Linked DNA regions of Cricetulus griseus. Each later gene encodes a partner of the first gene's protein in a complex. Links are inferred from orthologs where the notes say so. Each region holds a gene or a part of one and is shown in the gene's direction. Other genes may lie near its edges. The genes, in order: Nod2, Map2k3, Mapk14, Pkn1, Map3k20 and Akap13.

Region 1 (3,936 bases):
AATAGAAACAAAACAACACTATTGAATTCTGATTAGGATGATGGTAGAGCCCAGCACTGTGTGGGAGGCAAGTGCTAATATGCTGTGACCTCCTCTCCTCAGCTTGCATGGGACTGACGGCCAAGGGGAAGAGAGTAACTTTAAAGTCCTAGTAAGTCTCCACCCAGCACAGCCATCTGGGAATGCAACCATCAAGACTAAAGGGCTTACAGATCCCTGGGAGGGTGCATCGGTTCCTGCTGACAGGGAGGGCTTTCCTGTCTCTTGTTCTCGGGACTCTATGGTTCCCTCCTAATTGGAAGGTGGCCCAGAAAGCCGGCCACACAAGGGCAGGATACACTGCACCGCAGGCAGGCTTCTTCCAAGATACCTGTCTTACCACCTGTCCCCAGAGGGAAATCAGGAGGGGTGTGGCCGCCCTTCCGAATCCGCCACAGTGGGCGGGGTCACTGGCTAAGTAGGTGGAACGACGGGCGGGGCAAGATCACGGAGGGAGTCACCACCAGGCGGGCGGAGGAACCCCGCGCTGCAGCTGGCGGTGAGTGCTTGCCTGCTGCTTCTGTGGTCTGCGGGTGCTCGGGGTGGTGGGTGGGTGGGTGAAAAGAGGTTTTCTGGGGGCAGACTTAGTGCTCCGGGGGGGGGGAGGGGTCGGGCTCGGTGTGGTGGAGAACACGAGCGCCTAATGTCCCATCCCTATGATGGTGTTAACTGGCTCTGCGCTTCCTTCCAGAAGGAACTGTTTCCCTGTGGAATCATCAGCAGAATAGATAGGCTGTAGAAGGAAAGGGGCTTCTCGAGAGGGGACCCGTGTCAGACTGTGGTCACTGAAGATGAAGAGGTTTAGGGCACGGGAAGCCCATTGAGGCCCCAGGATCCTTTGAAGTCTAAGGGGAGGCTGAGGTTTGGGGGTGGCTGGGACAGTGGAGGTGAAAACTTGCAGGTGAGGTCCTTACCCAGAAGGAGGAAATCCTGCTTTGGGTCGCAGGAGGAGCCATTCCTGGCACAGTTGTCCCCTCTCCGTGGGCCTCAGTTTCTCTGTCTTTGGTCTTCAGAGACCCCAGCTGCTGCTCCCTGATCCTTGCAGGTGTCTCCTGCCTGTCCTTACTCATTTGTAAGTGTGGGAGCTGGGGCCAAAAGCTGTTTCTGCCTGGAGAGACCCACGGCCACCTGCCCAGTGCCAGCTCAGCTTTCAAGCTTGATCCTCTCTTATGCTTCTCAAGTCATTGGTGCCTCTATGTCTGGACAAGCTAGCTCCCAAGCCTCTGGGTAGGTCTGTAGCTGGTTGAAACTCTCATGGCTGTTTTTTTTTTTTTTTTTTTTTTTTTTTTTTTGTTGTTGTTCTTTTTTTTCAGATCCTGCAGGGTCCTGGCCTGGGGCAGGCTGTTGGCTTTCCTGCCCTAGGGGGAGTATGATCTCCCCCTAGGGCCAGGGTTCTGCAGGGTCAGAAAAGCTGGCTCCATCAGCCACCTCTGCCCAATTGGGGAAAAGACCAAGTGACAGCTCTGTTGCTTCTCTTCCAGTCAGTCTGTTGTGAGGCTATTGGAGGCCCTGGTTTCTTGGCCATTTGATGCCAGGTGGTCTCCACATGCAGCTCCAAGCTGGCACTGGCCCACACTTTGCCCCTCTCTCTCACCCAGGTCAGCACTCACTGTGGCCCAGTGAGCAGGCACTTCCTACTAGCCCATTGGCTAAAGTCTGTGCCTTGTAATGGCTACTCTCTGGTTCCACAGCTACCTCCCCAAGCTGTGTGGAATAAAGACATTCTCATTCATTCAGACCAGTCTATTCACAGGGTGAGGCACAGGGTCCAGAGAGGAGCTCCAGCAGTGTATCATGATAATGCTTGCCATGGCAGATGATGAAAAGGACTGTGGGGAGAAAATGCTGGGACAGGGCTTGGGGACCACAGTTCTACATAGCATAGGAAGGCCCCTCTGAGACAGTGGCCACTGAACAAAATCTTAAGGAGGTGATGGGCAAGTCATGTGACTATCTGTGGGACAGAGAGTGCCCTGTGAGCATAAAGCTTAGGCAAAGGCAGGAGCACCACAGACCAGAGCAGGCTCCCTTGTTCTGAGAGTGAGGAAGCAGGTGAGGGGCTACAGCAGGGTGGGAGTCAATGGAGGCTAGGAGGAAAGGGGTGGAAGTTGAGGTCTCTTGTATTGAGCTTGAGGTTGCTATAAAGGCTTTTGGCTTTCGCTTTGACTATGATGAGATCCACTAGTGGGCTGGGCTGTGAACAGATAAGGTCTCTGCTCTGACTTAAGATCTGGCAGGTTCATCTAGTTGTGTGACTAACATTGACCTATAGGGGGTCATGGCAGATGAAGGAACCATGAGAAGGCTTCAGGGCTTATGTTGTGGTATAGAGAGAGGTGGAGAGAGAAACTGTGGCTTTCAGATTTGGGGTCTGTTGAAGGCTGGGTGGATGGTCTGTGATGCCCGAGAGCGGCAGAGTCAAGGATGACTCTGGCAGTTTGGGGCCACTTTCAGTTGAGAAAGGAGCTAGCTGTTAGGAGGAAGGTCCAGTGATTGAGTTGTTTGGAGATGCTGGTAGGTACCACATGATGTTGAATGTTGTCCAGAACTGTCAGTGACATTTCAGGCATCACTGCCACATAGTTGGGAATTTAAGCCTGTGGGGAGGTGGGCTTATGTGGGGAGAGAGTGGCTCAGAGAAGTGGCAGTGATTCAGTTCGGCGGCAGTACAGAGGTGTGTTATCAGCCTTGGAGGCAGAATGGCTAGAAAGAGTAGCTAGCATGTGGGAAGGAAGGTCAGAGAAATCCTTCATGGCCTCAAGAGACGTGCTCCAGGGAGGAGAGTGAACAGGTAGAACAAAAGTCCTTGTCAGAAAGGAAGACCAGGAACAGAAGGCCAAATACTGGAAGTCATGGTTTGCATTTTCACTTGTAATGGTTGTGGGGTGGGGGGGAAGGATGAAGGGAGGACTGGGAAGTTCAGGCCTAGACAAGGGAGGGCAGAAATGAAGGATGAATTAGTTTGTTTGTTCTATGATGGGAACTGATGTCCTGGGGAGCAACTCAGTGGAGATGGAGAGTGGGGTTAGTGCCCCAGGGAAAGCTTGGCCAGCCAGGACCAGGACACTCTTCTGGGGACCTCCCTTCCTCTCCCATCTGCTGGAGGCCTGGGACACTGCAAGGATTGTTCAGCTCTCAAACAAATCCTCAGCTGGGAACTTCAAGGAAAACCAGGCTGCCTATGATCCTGGGAAGGAAGGAGGTGCTGGGGCACAGGCGTGTGCATGAGCACGTGTGTGTGTGTGTGTGTGTGTGTGTGTGTGTGTGTGTGTGTGTTTGGGGGCTTGGGGATGAGAGGGGCTTTTTTTCATTTTTATTTTTACTTTTAATTTTTTTTGGTTTTTTGAGACAGGGTTTCTCTGCGGCTTTGGAGGCTGTCCTGGAACTAGCTCTTGTAGGCTCACTTCAAACTCACAGAGATCTGCTTGCCTCTGCCTCCTGAGTGCTGGGATTAAAGGCATGTGCCACCACCACCTGGCTGAGAGGGGCCTCTGTAGATACCCTTGACCCTCTGTTTCAGCAAGCTGGTGCCCCCTTTGTTTGGGTTCCGTCTTGCAGAGCCTAAGAGTGACTCCAAGGTGGCCCTAGCTGGATAGAGAAGAAAAGGCAGGGAAGCAGAACAGCCTGTTTAACCTGGAGAGGACGAGTCTGACTGAGTAGGAAGGTGCAGGAACAGGATACTAGACCAGCTTTTATGAAACAGGTGACAAGAGCATCTATCGTTTTGCTTTTTCTTCCAAATTTAGCCGAACAAGATAAACTAATGAAGGACTCCTCAGCTGGTCAGGACGATAGTATCAACCCCAGGTCTTCTTTTCCAGCTGCTTAAGATGAGATAGAAAGATGGCCTACTCAGAGGCAGGGGACTGGCAGAATAGGTCTGTGGGGCTATGCCTT
Region 2 (4,218 bases), on another chromosome or scaffold:
GAGCAGCTCCACTCCCTGGGGCTGGCTTCTCTATTCATCCAAGGATGGTCTCTTACTTCTCTGTCTGGCTACTAGTCCATGAAGGTCACCTTCCTTGACCCCACCCAGGTGAGGTAGAGCCTCCTCTTAGGACTCTTGCATCTATTTATAGCACCCCACATGGAGTTTGTGATTCCTGGGCTGTTTGTCAAGTTGTCTGACTAACCCATTAAACTCCTCCTGTTTGAGGACCTTGTCTGAGTCACCCTGGTGCCCAGGAGGCTGGCACGGGACTAGAATCACTTTACCCATGTCTGTGGCATGCTTTCCTACTTCCTCTGCTCATTCCTCAAATAGTTCTTAGGAACCTACTATGTGCGTGGCTCTGGGCTAAGCCTTGGGATAGTGCAGGGGATGAGACAGTCAGGATTCCTAATTGGGAATTCCTAATGGGGGGAGGCGGGTGGCACGGGAGGAGGGGTGCGGTAGAAACCAAGTATGCAAACAAGGCATTGGTGCCCTGAGTGCTGGCCAGAGAGCTAAGACTCACTCAGGCTGCGACTGATTCCTTGACCTTGTGCTTCTTGCCCTCACTACGGCCGCCCGCCCGGCTTTCCATCCGATCCCAGAGACTCCTGGTTAGTGTGAGGACAGAGGCTCAGCGACTGACCGCGGAGATGGAACCCCACTCAAGGTTGGCCAAAGGTATTTCAATGTTTGGAATGACACCTTTTTATCGGAGACTACCCCTAACCCCTAGGAATAGCGCCGCTATAATGTTACAACACAAAAAGTTACTTTGTTACTAGGCACTGCCAGGTAGCAGCTGAATCCGGGTGCTCCTTAAGAGCCGGCGTGTCAGGTGCTCTTGGCTGCAGCCGCCACACGGACTTAAACGCGTGTGCGCTCCGCAAGGCGCGGTGAACTCTTTCCCACAGTTGGTCAGCACTCACCTGGCACGCGCCGCCGCGGGATCTCGTTTCCCCTGCTGCCCTAGGAGGCAGGCCCGAGGTCGCAGCTCTCTAAAGGGGAGAAGCACATGACGCTCACCCTTGGAACGGCGCAGCCACTTAGGAGTCCAGTCTCATTCCAGGAGCAATTTTCCAGGAGCACCCTACCAGCCGCATCGGCCCGGTCCGACTATCCTAGAGAGCTTGAGATTTTCCAGATTACGACCGGCACACGCTGTGCCGTAGGGGGGCACAGGCTGGGGTATCCAGGACCGCGCCAGCACCATACCGCGAATGGGTAGGGCTGTCATCTTGATAGGCAAGAGGGCGGAGCCGGACCGGACTAGGGGAAAGCAGGGTTGGATTCCGGCTCCCGGAGGGTGGAGCTTGTGCGTGACAGTCCGGTCGGCGTCTGATAGGCAAGGGCCTTTTCAGGTAGGCCAATCGGCGCGAGGGGCGGGGTCTGCGTGGCGCCGTCGGCCGGCGTCCGCCGCTGCCCAGTGTGGCTGTGGCGCCGCCCGCCTCGGACGCTTGCTACCGTCGCTTCTCTGCTCCCTATCGCCTATCGTCCGCCGCCTGCCGCCAGCAGCCATGAGCGCGCCCGGCCTCGGTGTAGTCTGCTGTCCTCTAGATTAGTGCTCTCCACCGCGACCGTCCACAGCATGGAGTCTCCCGCCGCGAGTCCACCGGCCAGCTTGCCTCAGACCAAAGGTAGGCGCTCCCGCCCTACCGCGCGGCCCGAGCCACACTCAGTTCGAGCCCATCCGGGACACTGGACTCCCTTCCGGGCCGGGCACAGGCAATGGCACTCCAGCCCAGGACTGGATCCAGCCCGAGCCCGGGACCTCGCGGGACCTCACTGGAATCCGGATCTTAGGCCGTGGGACTGCACCCAGGCAGGATCTCGTTCTCTACCCCGCTCCAAGTCTGGAGCGTAATCGTGAGCTCCTCGTTTAGGCTTCCGGGCTGCATCCTGAACTTAGCCAGGATTTCACTGATTGCCTGCTAGAGGGTCCTTGGGCTGCACCAGCCCCTTCAGGCCAGGCTCCTGGATTGTGTCCAGGCTGCAATTTACTCTCCTCTGGGCCCCCGGGCTGTGTTCCCAATGCCGGAAACCTGCCTAGTCTTGAACTCAGAACTCCTCCTCTCCTCCAGCTCCATCCGTTCTTGTGAGCCCTCCTTGGCCCATGCCTTGCTGGCTTGCACACTGGCCGCCTGCACTCCTCCCTGAGGCTGTCTCTGTAGAACTTCCTGGCGGCTCCACTTCGCAGCTCAGCCCATGCTACCTGCTGCTCGTTGACTCAGTTGCAGTCTTCTAACTGCACTTAGGAGCCGACCTCTTCCTGCACCTACTGTTTCTTGGTCTGCTGCCTTCAGAACCGGTGTTTGGTACTTGGGCTTGCTGCTAGGCCAGGGGCTAACTGTACAAGGCTGGGACTTGTCTCCAAGTAACTAACTGGCTTTCTTGGAAATTTCTGTGAGGTGGCAGTGATGCTGCGTGGGCTGCAGAAGCAGCAGCATTTGTCATGGGAAGTGAGGGGGACAAGACTTGGAAGGCAAGACTGTTTCTTTTCTCTTTCTTTCTTTCTTTCTTTCTTTCTTTCTTTCTTTCTTTCTTTCTTTCTTTCTTTTTCCAGGAAGAGAGGAACGTGTTTTTGACATGTCAGAGACTAAGTAGGTTGGGCTGCAGAAAAGAGAGTTCCAAACTGGACCTACAGCTGTGAATAGGTTGACTCTCTGCATTCTGAACCTGCCACTGCCTCACCTGGCCAGTCTCTTGACACATCTAGGCCTTATTAATGAAACGGATACCTGGGGTGTGATGGGAGATTAAATGTAGGGTGGTTTGAAGCAATCATGGTCGAGATGACCAAGAACCCATCGTAGCACCAGGCACATAGTAGGTACACAGGGGAAAAAGTTGGCTGTTTCCAGCTGGAAAGGTTCAGCCCTGTGGGGTTGGGGCCCAGCTTTGGATTGCAGCTGCAGAGCAGAGATGATAGGAATGGCAGACATTTAGAGGATGCTGGGGCAGTAGTGGCCTTTTCTCCTTCTGACCTAGGAAACCTCGACCTCAGGAGTCCTGGTCTTGGGCAGGCTGTCCTGGGCAGGCGGGGGCCTTTCCAGTCCCCTGCAGCTGGCTTCCATGGCTGTGCAGGAGCCCAGTGGGCGGGGTAATTGCATCTTACATAAGTGGGAGGCCAGATCCCTGACCATTGCCCAACTTCTGTGAGTAACTAGGGAGGCACTTGTTGGGGGAGGTGGCTGGGGAGGGACTTGCATGCAGACCTCGTGGAACTTGAGAACCAGGAAATTAGATGCTGCTCCAGTCAGGAAGGGTTGGAAGCAGTGTTTGTTTTAGAGGCATTTCAGTTCTTCCAGGCGAGAGATGCTACATCAAAATAAAGTTGCAGTTGTAGATTACAAGGGAGAAAGATTGTGGGTGACATAGCAAAGCATTGATTGTGGATACTGTCCACCCTCATGGTGACTTGAGGCCTGGCACTGGACTCTCTGGGTCTTTCTTCTGAGAGGGCCAGTATAAATTTGCAGATTGTAGGTTAGGTAACATGATATTGGGTGGGTTGGATGGAAGTTGAGACTCTCTCCAAGGCCCGGGATCCCTTGTAGCCTTTTAGGGAGTCTGGAGACATCTGTGATGGTGGAATGACAATATCCATTCACCAAAAGCTTTTGAGTTGTCACTTACCAAGCTTTTTGTGCTATACCACGTGCTATACATTGCCTTGTTTATTCTCCATAGCCCCGTTTGCCTATTAACAGAAACTCGGGGACACGAACCATTTACAGAGGCTACACAGCTGTGATGGACAGAGCATGGCTACAGCAGGACTATAAGCTGATCTCCCCAGTGCTCCCTCCATGCCATTCCTGTATAAGGTGCTTAGGGGAGCAGTGGGACACTGTCATCCTGACCATCACCCCCATGCCTACTAGACCTGGAGGCTGCCTGAAGCAGAGGACCACCTATTGTGCATGCAGTTTTTAACAGTGGTTGCTTCCATTAGTGTGACCCTGCAACAGATGCAAAGGTGCAGGTGCAGGCTCTGGTGAGTTTGCACCAGTATGACCCTGCCTGGCAGGAACTCTTTTCCACCTTTGCAGAAGACTTAAAATAAATTTTTCTTTAAATTACACTTATATATGTGTATATAGGTACATGCATGCCGCAGCATAGCACATGTATGGAGACCTCTCTGGAAGTCAAAATATACTTTGTGGGAGTCAGTTCTCTCATTCAGCCATGTGGATCAGCCTTCTACCATGT
Region 3 (4,016 bases), on another chromosome or scaffold:
AATACAATGACCTACCAGCATGTGTGTGTGCATGTGTGTGCGCACATACGTGTGGTGTGTGTGAGCATGTGGTGCATGTGTGTGCGCGCATACGTGTGTGTGCGTGTGTGTGCACGTGTGTGCGCGCACGTGTGCGTGTCTGTGTGTGCATGTGCGCGCGCGTGTGTGTCTGTGTGTGCATGTGCGCGCGCATGTGTGTGTGTGTGGTGTGTGCATGTGTGTGCGTGCATACGTGTGTGTGCATTGTGTGCGCGCATACGTGTGTGTGTGCATGTGTGTGTGTGTGTGTGCATGTGTGTGCGCGCATGGGTACATACGTCCCTGTCCCTTCCAGCACAGGAATCGAACCCAGGACCTCGCAAATGCTACGCAGGCCCCGAGCCCGGCCGGCCCGGCCCCTGGAATTTGCTTCTGAAACGTCCAGGGCGGCTCTTCAGCCTGAGAAAACTGAAGGGGGCTCCTGGGCGTCTGGAGGGGCGGCCTGGGCTCCGGGGCAGGGGCAGCGAGCGTCCGTCCATCAGTCCGTCCGTCTGTCCGTCCGTCCGTCCCTGGGCAGCCAGGGGCCGGCAGCTTTGCCGCCCTGGCGCCAGCGCTCGCCCAGCCGACCACAGCGAGGCGCGCGCGGCACGCGCTGCGCCCTCCCCGTCCGCCCCGCGCTCCTCCCCGCGCTCCTCCCCGCGCTCCTCCTCTCCGTCCGCCCCGCGCTCCTCCCCGCGCTCCTCCCCGCGCTCCTCCTCTCCGTCCGCCCCGCGCTCCTCCCCGCGCTCCTCCTCCCCGTCCTCCTCCGCCCCGCGCTCCTCCGCGCGCTCCTCTCTCCCGTCCGCCCCGCGCTCCTCCCCGCGCTCCTCCTCCGTCCTCTCCATCCTCCCCGCGCTCCTCCTCCGAGAGCCCCTGCCCCGAAGCCCTGCCAGCCCCGCCCGCTCCGTGTTCTCGCGAGAGGCGCCGCCTCCGGCGCGCTCGCAGCGGCCCCTCCCACGGGCGGGTTCCGTATTGGGTAAGATCCCGGCGGGGCGGGGCGGGGCGGTCGGACGGGGCGGGGCCGTGGGCGCGGGCGGGACGGGGCGTTGTTCTCGCGAGACTTCCGCGAGAGGCTCCGGTCGTTGCCGGGAGGAGCGCGGCGGCCGGAGCCAGCCCACGGGAGCCCGGGCGGGCGGGCGGCGCTGCAGCGCTGCGAGCGGGAGTCGTGCGGCGTCGGCGCGGCGCGGCTGCAGCGCAGCGGCGGGAGCAGCCTCGAGCCGCACAGCCGGCTCCCGCGCGTGCCCGCGGCTCTGACAGGGGCCGCGGCGTCCAGCCAGCCCCGCGCGGGCGAGCGGCGGGCGAGCGGCGGGCGAGCGCCGAGGACAGACAGCGTGCGGCTGCAGGCAGCGGCCCCGGCCGCCGCTGGAAGATGTCTCAGGAGAGGCCCACGTTCTACCGGCAGGAGCTGAACAAGACCATCTGGGAGGTGCCCGAGCGCTACCAGAACCTGTCCCCGGTGGGCTCGGGCGCCTACGGCTCGGTGTGGTGAGTGTCGCCGGGCCTGGGGTCCGGGGACGCCGGAGCCGGCGGGGCGGCCCTGCCTGCGTGCCTGCGTGCGAGCCTCCGTGCGTGCGAGCGTGCGAGCCTGAGGCCCGGCCTGTGCCCGCGGCTCCGCGATGCGCCCAGCGGCAGGAATTCTGCCCCGGCCGGGCCCTGCACCCCTCACTCACCCACCCGGGTGCAGCCGCGCGGGCTCCACCCTGCGCCCCTCCCGGGCTCCCTCCGCAGCCCCGCAGCCCCGGGAGAGCGGGCGAGCCAGCCGGGCGGAGCCTCTGCGAGGAGCGGCAGGGCACACAGCCTGACCCCGCGACTGCGGTCACCGGAACGAAACTTGCAAGAAAAAAAAAAAAAAAGCGCTCCCTTCCCGGATTTTTGTTTTTGTTTTTTCCTTTTTCTTGCAAGACTCCATCTGGAGGGGGGACAAATCTGGCTCCGGAAGCGTTCTTTGGGAATTAGCACATGAATTAGCAGCACCCCGAAGAGCCTAGAATGCTGACTTTATCTCGGCGAGCGCGGTGCCAGCTTGCGTGCTGTGTTTCCGATTCGGTTGAAAGCGTATTTCCTTTTCGGGGCGGGAGGGTGGCAGCGCCTGCAAGGACGCCACCGCTCGCCGCTTAGTCACACACCACTGCTCATTTCAGTGTTGCTCCACAAATCAGTTTTCCCATGCGGGCCACAGGGACTCCAGATCAAGTGATCGGAGGTGTAAATAGCTTTTTAGTTGAAATAATTCCTGGGATGCTTTTCTTTAAGTCCCTTTGAAGATTTGTAGGGGCGCGCTATCAGCTTGCTTTTTTTTTTTTTTTCCCAGGGCTGAGGGACGTGGCTTTGGTGAGAGCAAAGGAAACAATGTTTCTCAGCTGTCATTCACACCGTGATTCTTGATTCTTTGTTGTTCATTTGAGACTTTGTATGTCCCTGGCTGCCCTGAACTTCACTCTTCTGGCTGGCCTGGAATAAAGGCTTTTACCACCTTTGCAAGGCCCTGGGAGTGGGTTTCAAATTAAATCCATACTATAAAATATCCACTCCAGAAGTGATTAGGAACTCTCCAGGGTTCATACAGTGTCTTTTAGGCTTAGTGTCTTCTTAGAGCTCTGGTTCTTGAGGTTCAACAGCTTAGCTCTTCACGTGCTTTAGTAATTTATATACACTCCTGTTTTCGAAGGTTTGTGAAATGGTTTGTTTTGTAACAAATTCCAGGGTTCTGCATGTGTTAATCTTTAGGTATGAGTCCTGTGTTACTTAAAGTCACACCATGAATTTCCTGTTTGGTAGAACCTTCTGGGTAATTGAGATTGTGCAATAGTGTCCAGCAACAGATCATATTGCATTTGTTGGCGCAAGCTGCTTAAGTTATGTTGCAGATGGCACCAACCCTGACGTCTTTCTCCCATGTCTACAGAATGGCAGTTCACACATCTGTCATGTGTATTTGCGACTGTTATCTTCATTCTCTAATATTTAATAGCTCATTAGCATACCTCAGTCCGTCATTCCTAATTGTTAGAGTATCAGGCTTTGCTTTCCATTTGAATGTTCAGGGAGTGGTGAAACAGAGTATCTCCACTGTAGGCCATCTGGGTGGGTGAACTTGCAAGGTTTCCTATGGACACTGCTGTCCTGGCCGAAGAGCCAGGTTTGCAATGAAGTTCAGTGGTGAAGTGCCATTAAAACTACGCTCACTTCCTCTGGTGCTGTTCTTTTCTATGAAATAGAATTCAGCACCACCTCACAGTTGGAAAGGACTTGTACCAAACAGCTTCTTAAAAGTAGGTGATACAGGGCAGGGCGGTGGTGGCACACACCTTTAATCCCAGCACTGGGGAGGCTGAGGCAGGCGGATCTCTGTGAGTTCGAGGCCAGCCTGGTCTCCAGAGCGAGTGCCAGGATAGGCTCCAAAGCTACACAGAGAAACCCTGTCTTGGTCTTGAAAAACCAAAAAAAGTATGTGATACAGGACCAGTGATGTAACTCATACTACAGCCCCTGGTCTTGCATATGGGAGGCCCTGCATTCCATCCCCAGCAATACACAAACAACACAAAGCAACTCATTAGCAACTCATTATGTATAAAATGTAAAAAGGTATGCAGCAGGAAGCCTTCTGTTTCTGTTCCCCAGCCCTGTTTTCTCTTCCTTCAGTGACAACCGCTATTCGGTTCCTTGCATGTCTTTTTCAGAGACGAAGAGTTTGTACCAGAGATGTAAGGTGTAGCCTATAACCTGTCGATGGGGGAAAAGACAGCTGAAATTGTACATGATGACTGAGCAAATAACTCTCTCAAGTTATTTGAAGCTGGGTTTTTTTTTTTTTGAGGATTTATTTATTTTATATATGTGTGGGTATTTTGCTTACACACATATATGTGCACCCCATGAATGCTTGGTGCCATGGAGACCCTGGAACTGGAGTTACAGACAGTTGTGAGCTGCCATGTGGGTGATGGGAATTGAACCTGGGTCCTCTACAGGAGCACTGACCACTGAATCATTTC
Region 4 (3,500 bases), about 3.6 Mb from region 1:
AACTTCACCCACTGCTGTTACTACTACTTTTATTGATTTTATTGTTTTTAATGATGTATATTGGGGGGTATGTACATATACCCGAAGAAGCCAGAGCCATCATCAGATCCACCTGGAACTGAAGTTACAGGCACTGCTACTAGGACCTGAACTCAGGTCCTTTGGAAGAGCAGTGTGAGCACTTAACTGCTGAACCATCTGTCCAACAACACTCCTACTATTTTTAAAAATGTTTTTGTTTTAGAGCAGTTTTAGGTTCACAGTAAAATCCAATGGAAAATAGAATGTTTTCATATATACCTTGTCCCTGATACGTTTTAACTGTACCACTGATAGTTCAGATTTAGTGTATATTTGGCAAACAAGTGTGGTCTCCTATTTGGGGCCACTCAGGGCTGTCTTCTCCTGGAGTGAACTTCAGGGAGCTACTGTTAAGGCAGGTGGGCCCCCTAGGCTCCCAAGCTGAGATCAGCCGTGGTGGACATCTGGGTAGGGAGAAACAGGAAGTTGATGCTGCCTGTCTACAGGAAGCTGCACAAATACACACACACACACACACACACACACACACACACACACACACACACACACACACACCCTCTACTACAGCACTGACTGTTCTGATTCTTAAGGGGAAGTTGGGGACAAGGGACAAGACATGAATAGGCAGTAGCATGACTGAGGGCCTCAGGGCTGCTGTGGGGACATGGGCAATGACAGAGAGAGAGAGAGAGAGAGAGAGAGAGAGAGAGAGAGAGAGAGAGAGAGAGAGAGAAGCTTATGGAGGGCTCAAACTAGCACTCATGGCTGTCCGCTTACCCTTACACCTGTCTGTGGGTTTATTTGGTCTTAGAAATTATAGTCCTCCATGGAGTGAAGTCAGGGCTGGAGATCAAGACAGGAGCTTAAAACAAAACCACAGAGGAGTATTGCTTACTGGCCCACTTCCTCTGGCTTACTCAGCTCCTTTCTTACACAGGCCAGGCCCACCTGCCAGGGATGGCACTGCCCACAGAGGGCTGGGATCTCCTACATCAGTTAGCAATTAAGAAAATGTCTCATAGGCATGCCCACAGGCCAGTCAGACAGAGGCAACCCCTCAGTTGAGGTTCCCTCTTCATAGGTTTGTCAAGTTGACAGCTGAAGCTAGCTATGACAAGGGTATACATATATATGAGCTTATGTGTGTGCATGTGTGAGCCTGTGAGCAAATCTCACACCTGCAAAACTGGAAATGTGATCGTACCTATGAGCCTATCTTTGGTTCACACATATGCTGTGTACCACATGAGATCCTGTCTGCTACATACAACTGTGGGTGTGTATATCCAGGGTGTTCTCTCAGGCCAGGAATTAAGGGCTACCTGTCCCTGGCTTGCCTCCAGAGAAGCAAGCATGGCCATTTAGGGGGTGATGTGGGAAGAACCTCTTACATGGCACATGCCTTTAATCCCAGAACCCAGGAGGCAAAGGCAGGCAGATCTCTGTAAGTTTCAGACCACCCTGGTCTCCATAGTCAATTCTAGGACAGCCGGGGCTACATAGAGAGACCCTGTTTCAAAAAAAAAAGAAAGAAAAAAAGAAAACAAAACAACCCCCAATAAAACTACAACAACAACAACAACAAACCCCATGCCCTAGAGCTGCCCTGGCGCAGAGGATGCTGGGAGCTGGCAGGAAAGAGGAAGTGGCAGTCCAGAGGCCCTGGCAGGGCTGAGGTTCAGGAAGAGGGCGTGGCCCTCAGACCAGACCCAGGACCCAGATGGCGGCTGATTCCCCTTTGCATCTGGATCTGGAGGTAGGGGCTAGGTCTCCATAGGATGGGCAGAAGGAGACCCCTAGAGACAGAAGCTGAGGGTACCTTTCAGTTGGGGACTAAGGGTAGGAAGGAGATGGGGCACAAGTTAGTTCTCTAACTTTTGGGTGCCACATCAGCTCTCTGGTTTGGGAGATGTGGGAGGAGATGAGCGCCGTCTTTGGAGTACCAGATAGAGAAGACAGGAAGGCAGGGCTGGCCCTTGGGATCTCCCAGTTTGGGAATGCAGATCAGAGAAGTCAGGATATGTTTCTAAGGTTCTCCTGGTTTTGGAGTATGGCAAAAGAAACATGTAGCTTGCCCTTGGAACCTCCTGGTTAGGAGTGCAGGAAACTGGAAGAAAAAAGGGGTCTTTTGGAGTCTTCCTGCCAGAATCCCATTGCATAGGTCACAAATTAAGGGAGATAGGGCCCACCTGTGGCGAGCCTGGTCAGTGCAACTGGGAGGAAGGAGGCCTTGTTTTTGGCCTATTCTTTGACCTTCTATTTATTTATTATTTAGTTTTGGTTTTTTGAGACAGGGTTTCTCTGTAGCTTTGGAGGCTTTCCTGGAACTCGCCTGTAGACCAGGCTGGTCTGGAACTCACAGAGATGCTCCTGCCTCTGCCTCCCGAGTGGTGGGATTGAGGGTGTGCGCCACCACCACCTGGCTTATTTATTTATTTATTTATTTATTATTTATTTATATTATTATTATGCATGTGTGTCTTTAGGGTTATGTACACATGCACATCAGTGCCTGCAGAGGCCAGAGGAATCCAGTCCCCCTAGATCCAGAACTAGAGGCTTGAACGGAATTGAGTCTCTGTAAGAGCAATACGTGCTTTTAACAGAGCCATTTCTCCAGCCGCCTATTTATTTATTTCTGTGTGTGAGTGTAGTGGAGATCAGAGGACAGCATTCAGGAGTTGGTTTTCTTTTTCCATCATGTAGATCTCTAGGGGGTGAACTCAGGGTTACCAGGCTTGGCAGCAAGAGCTTTTACCTCCTGAACCATCTCTCTAGCCCAGATATTACCATTTGTGTGGGTCAGGGAGGAGGAGCAGCCCCTGTCCTTGGAATTTTAGGGTGCAGTAGGGTAGGGTGGTAGGTCAGGTGAACTGTGCCCTGGTGAGGCCACCTGTCCTCTGGCCCCTGACCTCTGTGCCTGGTGTCTTCCCCTGCAGAGCGAGCCTCGCAGCTGGTCGCTGCTGGAGCAGATGGGCCTGGCGGGGGCTGACCTGGCGGCCCCCGGCGTGCAGCAGCGGCTGGAGCTGGAAAGAGAGCGGCTCAGGCGGGAGATCCGCAAGGAGCTGAAGCTGAAGGAGGGCGCTGAGAACCTGAGGCGAGCCACCACCGACCTGGGCCGCAGCCTGGGCCCTGTGGAGCTGCTGCTGCGGGGCTCTGCTCGACGGCTTGACTTGCTGCACCAGCAGCTGCAGGAGCTGCATGCACATGTGGTGCTTCCTGACCCTGCAGCCGGGAGTGGTGAGCAGAAAGCTTGGGAGCAGGCAGGGTCCACTGACTTTCTGGAGCTTTACTCCATCAAGATACTGTCCTGTGTCAACAAAAGCCATGGCAAATGCCAGACTCGCATGGCCACTAACACCTAGAGAAACACATGGTCACACCTATTCCCAGATCCCACCCAAAGCTGTCTTTGGCATTAGGAATACCTAGATGCACATGCCAACGAACACTAAAGA
Region 5 (3,500 bases), on another chromosome or scaffold:
GCTCTTCAAATCTTATGAGGGTTTCATCTTCATAACTGGCTGTGAAAATACTCCAGAATATAGTAATGCCAATGGCAAGATAAAAGCTATACTATATTTTATAATTTCTATATACATATACTCCATGTACATATATATATGTATATATGTATATATATGTATGTATATATATGCATATATATATATATAGAGAGAGAGAGAGAGAGAGAGTATACACACACACACACACACACACTCCAGAATATAGTAGTATATCAATAGCAGGATAAAAGCTATGATTCAGAATGACAAGTACACATACTTGAAAAAAATTCAATTCTTAAACTTCTCTACAACACCAGTGGTAGACTTGAGCATACAGGAGAGAGACCATAACGGGCTGGAGTTCCCTGCACAGGTTCCCCTCCCACCTCAGGCCCGCTCATTAACTGACAAGATGCCTAACTGCCTTCCTTACTCTGGCCTTCCCCGAGAGGAATGGACAGAGTATGCCCCATAATCTTACATCCCAGGAGGCATGATACTTAAGTCTGCAGGAAGGCTCCATGCAGCTCTGGGTAGACTCCCTGAGGAGCAATCCCGGGTAGCCAGTTCTCTCTCCATATCTGCTTCCTTAATGGCAAAACAATTTTGAGAACTGCTGATGAGAGACTTCAGGGACCCTCGCCTGTCCAGATCCATTTTATAAGCTCAAGGGCATCATTAAATGCAGAAGAAAATAAAGATGAAATGCTAGCTAGTTCTAGCAAGGATGTGCTCCACCCTAGGGAGACAGACACCCCAAGGAGTCTCAAGGAAAAGTCATGATTAGGAATTCCAGGAGACCTGTTCTAGACGTCAGCCTGGTGTGGGGCTGGGGTGTGCCCCCTCTGCCCTTTGTTTTTTTTATGAAGTGAGTTTCTTGCTGCTTTAGGCAGCTGCGTGGGTCCCACAAAGCAAAGAAGCCAGCTTCCTGTTTCTCCCCTTCCTTGAACACTAGAAGCTGAGCCTCTTGCCAGCCCTGGCCCTGTATGTAATTGCTTCCTCCCCAGCTACAAGGGTGGTCCATCTCCTTTGAAAGGAAAGTGATTTGAAACAACTGAGTTCTGGGAGCTATTTTTAGTCTTTGCTGCAAGGTTAAGTGGCTCACATGCCATTCAGCTAAAAGTCCATTGTCTAGGGACCCAGGGAACCAGAGTGACTGAGTCTGGCCTCTTCTCTGTGTGTCTTCACCAGGGTAATGTTAGGTCACTGGTAAACAGGTGCCAAATGATATATACAAGGACAAGGGACCCCTAGGTGTAACCACCTCACTCGACACAGAAAGTACCATCTTTTGCATGGCCCCCAAATGGCTGCCATGGCCGAACAAGCTAATGGGAGTCGTCATCCTGTCCATCTCTATGTCCACTTCTGGGTGGTCCTTGTTACTCGTGCAGTTCCTGAAATAAGTATGGTAGCAGTCTACCTGCATGTATAATGGAAAAGTCACTATAGGAGCTCCTCTAGGAAAGATGTACACTTTCGCTCAAGGAAGTCTCTCAACTGCCCAATGCCCCCTACGGGAAGAATATCTCCAATTTGAGAGCTTGAGGCTTTAAACTCCAAAGAGAACTCTTTCATCTCTCCCTTGTGGCTAAGTTAAAGACATCTGAATCTATTGGAAACTGTTTTCTTGTTGAGAATGGCTACTGCCTGTATGTGACCCTCCCGAACCATGTGTGTCCTCTCTTCGCAGTATTTTTGGGTTCAGCAGCTCGTCAGAAAAGGCAAGTGAAATAAATTACCTTCGTATTTACAGAGTTAACTTTGTCGGGCTATGATTTATCCTCATTTCCTGCCTTCTGCACTTCTCTCCCAGGTGACTCTTCAGTAGAGATGAGTGGGTATGCAAGCTTGTTTAAGGAAAACAACATCACAGGCAAGCGGTTGCTGCTTTTGGATGAGGAAGATTTGAAAGACATGGGCATTGTCTCCAAGGGGCACATCATCCATTTTAAGGTACCCGGTGGGAGAGTGTCAATAAATCAATGTGTGGTATGGTGAGCCATGTGTGGGCAAATAGAGATGAAAGCATCACGGTATGGGACATTCGGTGCTGAAATACCTCCAGGCTTGTCCCTAACTAGTTGCCACACCTGCACTGCCCTGTTCCCACCTTAAAATCCCACAGCGGTTACCTGGATACAATGGTGTAACACCTCTGTATTGCCAGGAAGCCTCTAGTCTAGGGGGAAAATGGTGTGCAATGACACCTCTGAGAGATGCCACAGAGGAGACAGGGCTGGGCTAAGGGCAGGCTTCTGGAAGGGACATTAGGCAGGTGATGGCATTGCACTGGAGGAGGAGTCATGTGAGGGAGAAGCATTGCCAGAGGAAAGGCCTGGGGCAGGAGGAAGCTCAGTGGGCCCGAGGACTGCAACTAAGGTAAGGTCACACCTAGAGAGCGGTTACCACACCCAGGACTAGCCGAGGCCGCTTAGCCCACTTACAGCTGGAGGGGCCAGACATTCATGAGAAGTCCTGAAGGAGCCTGGAACTTTGCCCATTTGGGATTAGTTGGTTAAGTAGGAGTGTGGCCTCAGGTCTGGTGGTCTGGAGACTGCTTACCTACTGGCACCAAGAGAACTGTGGGCAGGGACTTCAGGGCCAGGAAACCCTTCATAGTTGCATCCGGGAGCTGAGTTGACTATTAGTGTGGCCCAAGCACACTAATAGGGGCCTAACAGGCCTTACCGATGGGGTCAGGAAATAGATGGGTGGAGCTTTACCATCTGTCTCTAGTCTCCTGTCCTTTCAGTGATGGCCAACTACCATGTCTACATATGCTTAACCACTGATAGAGGTTAACATCCCCCAAGATGTTCTATAAACTACATAAAGTCCTTTATTTTGTATGCTCAGTAATTTTAATCATCTTTGGTATCATCAAAGCATTAATAAAGTCACGTGATTTTTCTCCTTACAGTCAGCTATCGAGAAGCTGGCCCACGATTACCTGAACCTGTTTCACTTCCCACCACTAATTAAGGTGAGTGAGGTTTCCTCACTGACGGCTCGCTGCTTTTATTGGCATACGCACCTGCCACATCCACACCCGACTTCGCTAATGTCTGGGACTGTTGTTTGAAGTGAAATGTAATTACTTCTGTCCAACAAAAGACCCTTTGACGACTGTGATCTGTATAAATTACACACATTTGTTCCCCACGCTTTGAAATATTAACAACACATTCAAGATAAGAATAGTACCCCCCACTAAGATTGTAGGTGAAGGCCTCTGGCCTCATGCCTGGTTCTAGAGGCCTTTAAGTTACTAAAAAAAAAGCCACACACCAGAGCTCTGGGTTGCCACTTTCCCTCGGGGTGGAGGGGTAGGGAGTGTTATTTAAATAGAACACTAAATAGCAGTGCCCCTCCTTGTCCATGGGAATACATCCCAGCACCCCCTGCAGATGCCTGAAACTGAGATTAGCACCAAACCCTATGTATACTGCCTTTTCCTGTGCAAACATGCCTGT
Region 6 (3,500 bases), about 43 Mb from region 1:
CAAAAATAAATTCTTTGGGATGACAGGATTTAAATACAATGCCTAGGCCCGGATGAAGGGCTTTTGCCTGTTTTAAAGTCCAACTTCCAGCTGTGGTTAAGTGATTTTAAGAAGCTAAGGTGGGACTTTTAGGGACTTCAGGTTTTTAAATTTAGTGCTGTTTTAGGTTGACGTCTGTCTCAACATTGAAATGAGGTCTCTAATTCTTAAGACAAGGCACCATGACAGGTCTATTTTGGGGGCCTTGGCAGGTTGACATTTCAGAAGCTTGGGAGTGGCTGTAAGTTGATGCCTGGCTGTTTTCCTTTCTTTTGGTGCTCTGTCCTTGGCCACCCTGGGTGGAATTATTTCTCCTTCTTGTTCTGTGGTCACAATTTGACCCTAGCAACTGTGAACTATGAAGCTTGTGTCTGTATCACTGGATCAGAAAAGGTAAGAAAAAAGAAAAACTGGCAGAATCTTAGACATGATTTTAAGTATATACAACTATAGTAAAGATACTAAGAAATGGTGCGAAATTTTGAAGAAGAAAGTTTTGAAAATTGGGGGTTGGTTGTATTTTGTATAGGTGGGTTACTTGTTTTGTTACCAAAAGGACTCATAACAGGGCTGGTGCTCAACTACAAAAAAAGTAACCAGTGAAGAAATTGAGTACTTTCTTTGAAATAGCCAGGGTCGAGGAAAGTCCCTGGTTACATTGTGCTAGAAAAAAGCACCTGAGTGTGATCTCATAGCCAGGGGTATTTTTGTGAAGGTTGCATTCCATTCATGGATTCTTTTATGGGTCAGGTTTAGCTGTTGATTTGGGAGGAGCCTGATAAAAGAGGGAATGTGACCTTTGCCTCACAGAAAGCATTGATTGATCACTGTACTCAGAAGGTGCTTGACCAAACCAAGCTAATCTTGCAGAGTCTCAGTAATCAATGTTTACGGTTGTAGCTGGTCCATATTTTCTGTTGATTGCATATAGGAAAGTTGAGGTTAATGCTAAAAATCACATTCCAGGATACAATAAAAACCATATCTTCCTTCACATACACAGTTACTCTCTGTCTCTTAGAAATGTTTTTCCTTGGGATTTTTGTAAAGGGATTACTTCAGTTTTGTTTTTTTTTTTTTCTTTTTAAATAAAACTTGATTTACTAAAGCTAACAGATTTTAATTCTCTGGACAAGCAAACTTGGATACCTATTTTAAATTGCTAGTAATATTGTATAATTACAAAAGAAAAGACAGGACAAGGAATTATAAATGTTCTCTTGTTAGGAATGTGACTTTCCCAATCGAAGGTCTCTAGAGAATCACAGATGTTGTTAGTGTGAATGAATCTTAATGTGATTTATTATTCAATGAGAGAAACTTCAGTCTTTCAGATGGGGATTGTTTTTATTGCCAGAGTAGTACCACTGCTACTTTAACAAGCAAATGGAAATGAGGCAGACTTTCCATTTATATTATATATAATATATTATATGTAATATATATTAAGGTAATTTCGACTATTCAATCAATATTTTCCCTTTAAAGAAGTGTCAGAAGTCTAAATTTGTCTTGAACATCATTATTATCACTTCCTGCTTTTGCATGACCATGTGGTGGCCGGGTAAGAGAAACTATTATTGTTGAGTCTGTTAAGAGCATGGTCAGTATGGGGACAGATTATTTAATACTAAAACAACAACAGAAAAATTTTAAAAACTTTGTTTTGTTTTGTTTTTCCAGACAGAAATGAATATTAGATTCTTTACTCAATTTTGCTTTTGGAAAAACTATAGTTCAAAAATAACTTGCTGAAATTGTCTAGTCTTATTGATTAAATTAATGGTGTAGAACAGGGTTTGTAATATATGTTTTAAGTGATTCTGGTCTTGAAAGCCATTTTCAGTAGCTTTCCATTTTCTCTATACAAATAAATTTTGCTATAATGGTGTCCAAAATGTACTGCCTTATTTAATATATTAATCTGCACCCTTGTAGTTTATTAATTTACTGTCACATGCATTTTTGTAGCTTTTCAAAGTCATTAATGAAACGGACACTCAGTAGACAATGAGTTGAATGTCCTTTAACTCTAAGCTCATTTAGAGGCTGGGAACCAGTCACAGACCATGTGATAAGTATAGGAGCTCAGTGTGGGGTCATAAATGGCACCAGCTCCTGCCATTGCATGGAAAAACAAACAAAACAGATGAAACCTGAATTTGTTGTGTAAATACTAAAGCACATAGGAACCTCCTTTTTTTTTTTTTTAATCGAATGTACTCTCTCTGAATAACCCATATTCTCTTCAGAAATGCCAGACACTAAAGCTGAAGATGAAGTGGATTCTCTGAGTAAGACCAGAGCTCCTTCTGAGGAGGAGGCTCTAGGAAATGGAACTACCACACCCAAAATGAAACAAGGCCCTGAGACCCAGGCGGTAAGTGGCATCTGCAGACCTGTATGGACAGTATTTCAGCTTGGCCTGCTTGTGTGATCTACGGCCATAGTTTTTGTGATAGGATGGGATAGATCAATGGTTTTTACCCTTTCTTTCTTGTCCTGCTTTTGAAACAAAGGGTATGTTTTTGTTAAACTTGTGTTGGTGTCATCAAAGCTTTGGAATCGTCTTCCCTACATGAATCCTTTGGAGATTACAATAAAAACATTTTTCCTGTGAGCACAAGACTTTGAAACTGGTCGGCAAATTTTCAGTGACACAACAAGAATTTACCCCAAGGGGCATCCATGCACATTATTGAACACGACTTGTTCTTTATGTCTTCATTGTGAAGGTCATCATAAAGTGTATAAAATATGGAGAATATCATTAGCAAAGGAAAAAGCTGAGTAAATATTTCCTTAGCAGTTTCGTGAGGATTTATACATTAGCAAAACCACAATTCAAATGAAATATGGTTGGTAGCTCTTTATATTTATAAAATTGTATAACCACCACTACCTATATTTTAATTTTTGAGATTTATTCATGTGTATGTTTGTTTTGCTCTCTTGTCTGTCTGTGTACCATGTGTGTGCAATAGTCAGAGAGCCCGGAAGACAGGACATCAGAAGAGCATTCAATGCTTTTAACCACTGAGACTTCTATCCAGCCTGACTTGTTTATGTCCTTGTGATGACATCATCTCAAAAACCCAGTGCCCATTAGCAATCTGCCCTGTCTTTCTTCATTCCACTAACCTGCTGGCAGTCAGCAATCTGATTTCTCTTTCTAGACATTTGACTTTTCTTGAACTTCATATAAGTGGAATTATAGAGCATGTGCTCATGCTGGCTGGCTTTACTGACTTAGCATAGTATTTTGTTGCATCATTAATTATTGCCAGATAGCACTTCATTGTAAAGAAATACCATTGTAAATAAGGTCTGTATTTTGGAATGCTTTATGTTTGGAGCTGTTAGAAATCATAGGGCTTCTGTGGATACACACGGACACATTACATAGACATGTTTTTGTGTACCTAGTATTGGAATGTTTGGGCCATATAGTCATTACAAAT

What was found.
Region 2: Nod2 (region 1) and Map2k3 share a complex: the UniProt entries of both Homo sapiens proteins name them as parts of the signaling complex. The link is inferred for Cricetulus griseus from reciprocal best matches to the Homo sapiens genes NOD2 and MAP2K3.
Region 3: Nod2 (region 1) and Mapk14 share a complex: the UniProt entries of both Homo sapiens proteins name them as parts of the signaling complex. The link is inferred for Cricetulus griseus from reciprocal best matches to the Homo sapiens genes NOD2 and MAPK14.
Region 4: Nod2 (region 1) and Pkn1 share a complex: the UniProt entries of both Homo sapiens proteins name them as parts of the signaling complex. The link is inferred for Cricetulus griseus from reciprocal best matches to the Homo sapiens genes NOD2 and PKN1.
Region 5: Nod2 (region 1) and Map3k20 share a complex: the UniProt entries of both Homo sapiens proteins name them as parts of the signaling complex. The link is inferred for Cricetulus griseus from reciprocal best matches to the Homo sapiens genes NOD2 and MAP3K20.
Region 6: Nod2 (region 1) and Akap13 share a complex: the UniProt entries of both Homo sapiens proteins name them as parts of the signaling complex. The link is inferred for Cricetulus griseus from reciprocal best matches to the Homo sapiens genes NOD2 and AKAP13.

What each region holds. Positions count from the first base shown.
Region 1 is NC_048596.1:164,271,256-164,275,191, forward strand, and holds the start of Nod2 (nucleotide-binding oligomerization domain-containing protein 2), read left to right. Parts: upstream 1-1,136; 5' UTR 1,137-1,208; coding exon 1,209-1,266; intron 1,267-3,469; exon of another isoform or gene 3,470-3,936. UniProt on the Homo sapiens protein: Pattern recognition receptor (PRR) that detects bacterial peptidoglycan fragments and other danger signals and plays an important role in gastrointestinal immunity.
Region 2 is NC_048600.1:74,919,638-74,923,855, forward strand, and holds the start of Map2k3 (dual specificity mitogen-activated protein kinase kinase 3), read left to right. Parts: upstream 1-1,418; 5' UTR 1,419-1,591; coding exon 1,592-1,640; intron 1,641-4,218. UniProt on the Homo sapiens protein: Dual specificity kinase. Is activated by cytokines and environmental stress in vivo. Catalyzes the concomitant phosphorylation of a threonine and a tyrosine residue in the MAP kinase p38.
Region 3 is NW_023276806.1:233,801,765-233,805,780, forward strand, and holds the start of Mapk14 (mitogen-activated protein kinase 14), read left to right. Parts: upstream 1-1,216; 5' UTR 1,217-1,387; coding exon 1,388-1,503; intron 1,504-4,016. UniProt on the Homo sapiens protein: Serine/threonine kinase which acts as an essential component of the MAP kinase signal transduction pathway.
Region 4 is NC_048596.1:160,720,999-160,724,498, forward strand, and holds part of Pkn1 (serine/threonine-protein kinase N1), read left to right. Parts: intron 1-2,981; coding exon 2,982-3,282; intron 3,283-3,500. UniProt on the Homo sapiens protein: PKC-related serine/threonine-protein kinase involved in various processes such as regulation of the intermediate filaments of the actin cytoskeleton, cell migration, tumor cell invasion and transcription regulation.
Region 5 is NC_048599.1:102,755,701-102,759,200, reverse strand, and holds part of Map3k20 (mitogen-activated protein kinase kinase kinase 20), read left to right. Parts: intron 1-1,717; coding exon 1,718-1,748; intron 1,749-1,840; coding exon 1,841-1,980; intron 1,981-2,947; coding exon 2,948-3,010; intron 3,011-3,500. UniProt on the Homo sapiens protein: Stress-activated component of a protein kinase signal transduction cascade that promotes programmed cell death in response to various stress, such as ribosomal stress, osmotic shock and ionizing radiation.
Region 6 is NC_048596.1:121,744,965-121,748,464, reverse strand, and holds part of Akap13 (A-kinase anchor protein 13), read left to right. Parts: intron 1-2,291; coding exon 2,292-2,419; intron 2,420-3,500. UniProt on the Homo sapiens protein: Scaffold protein that plays an important role in assembling signaling complexes downstream of several types of G protein-coupled receptors.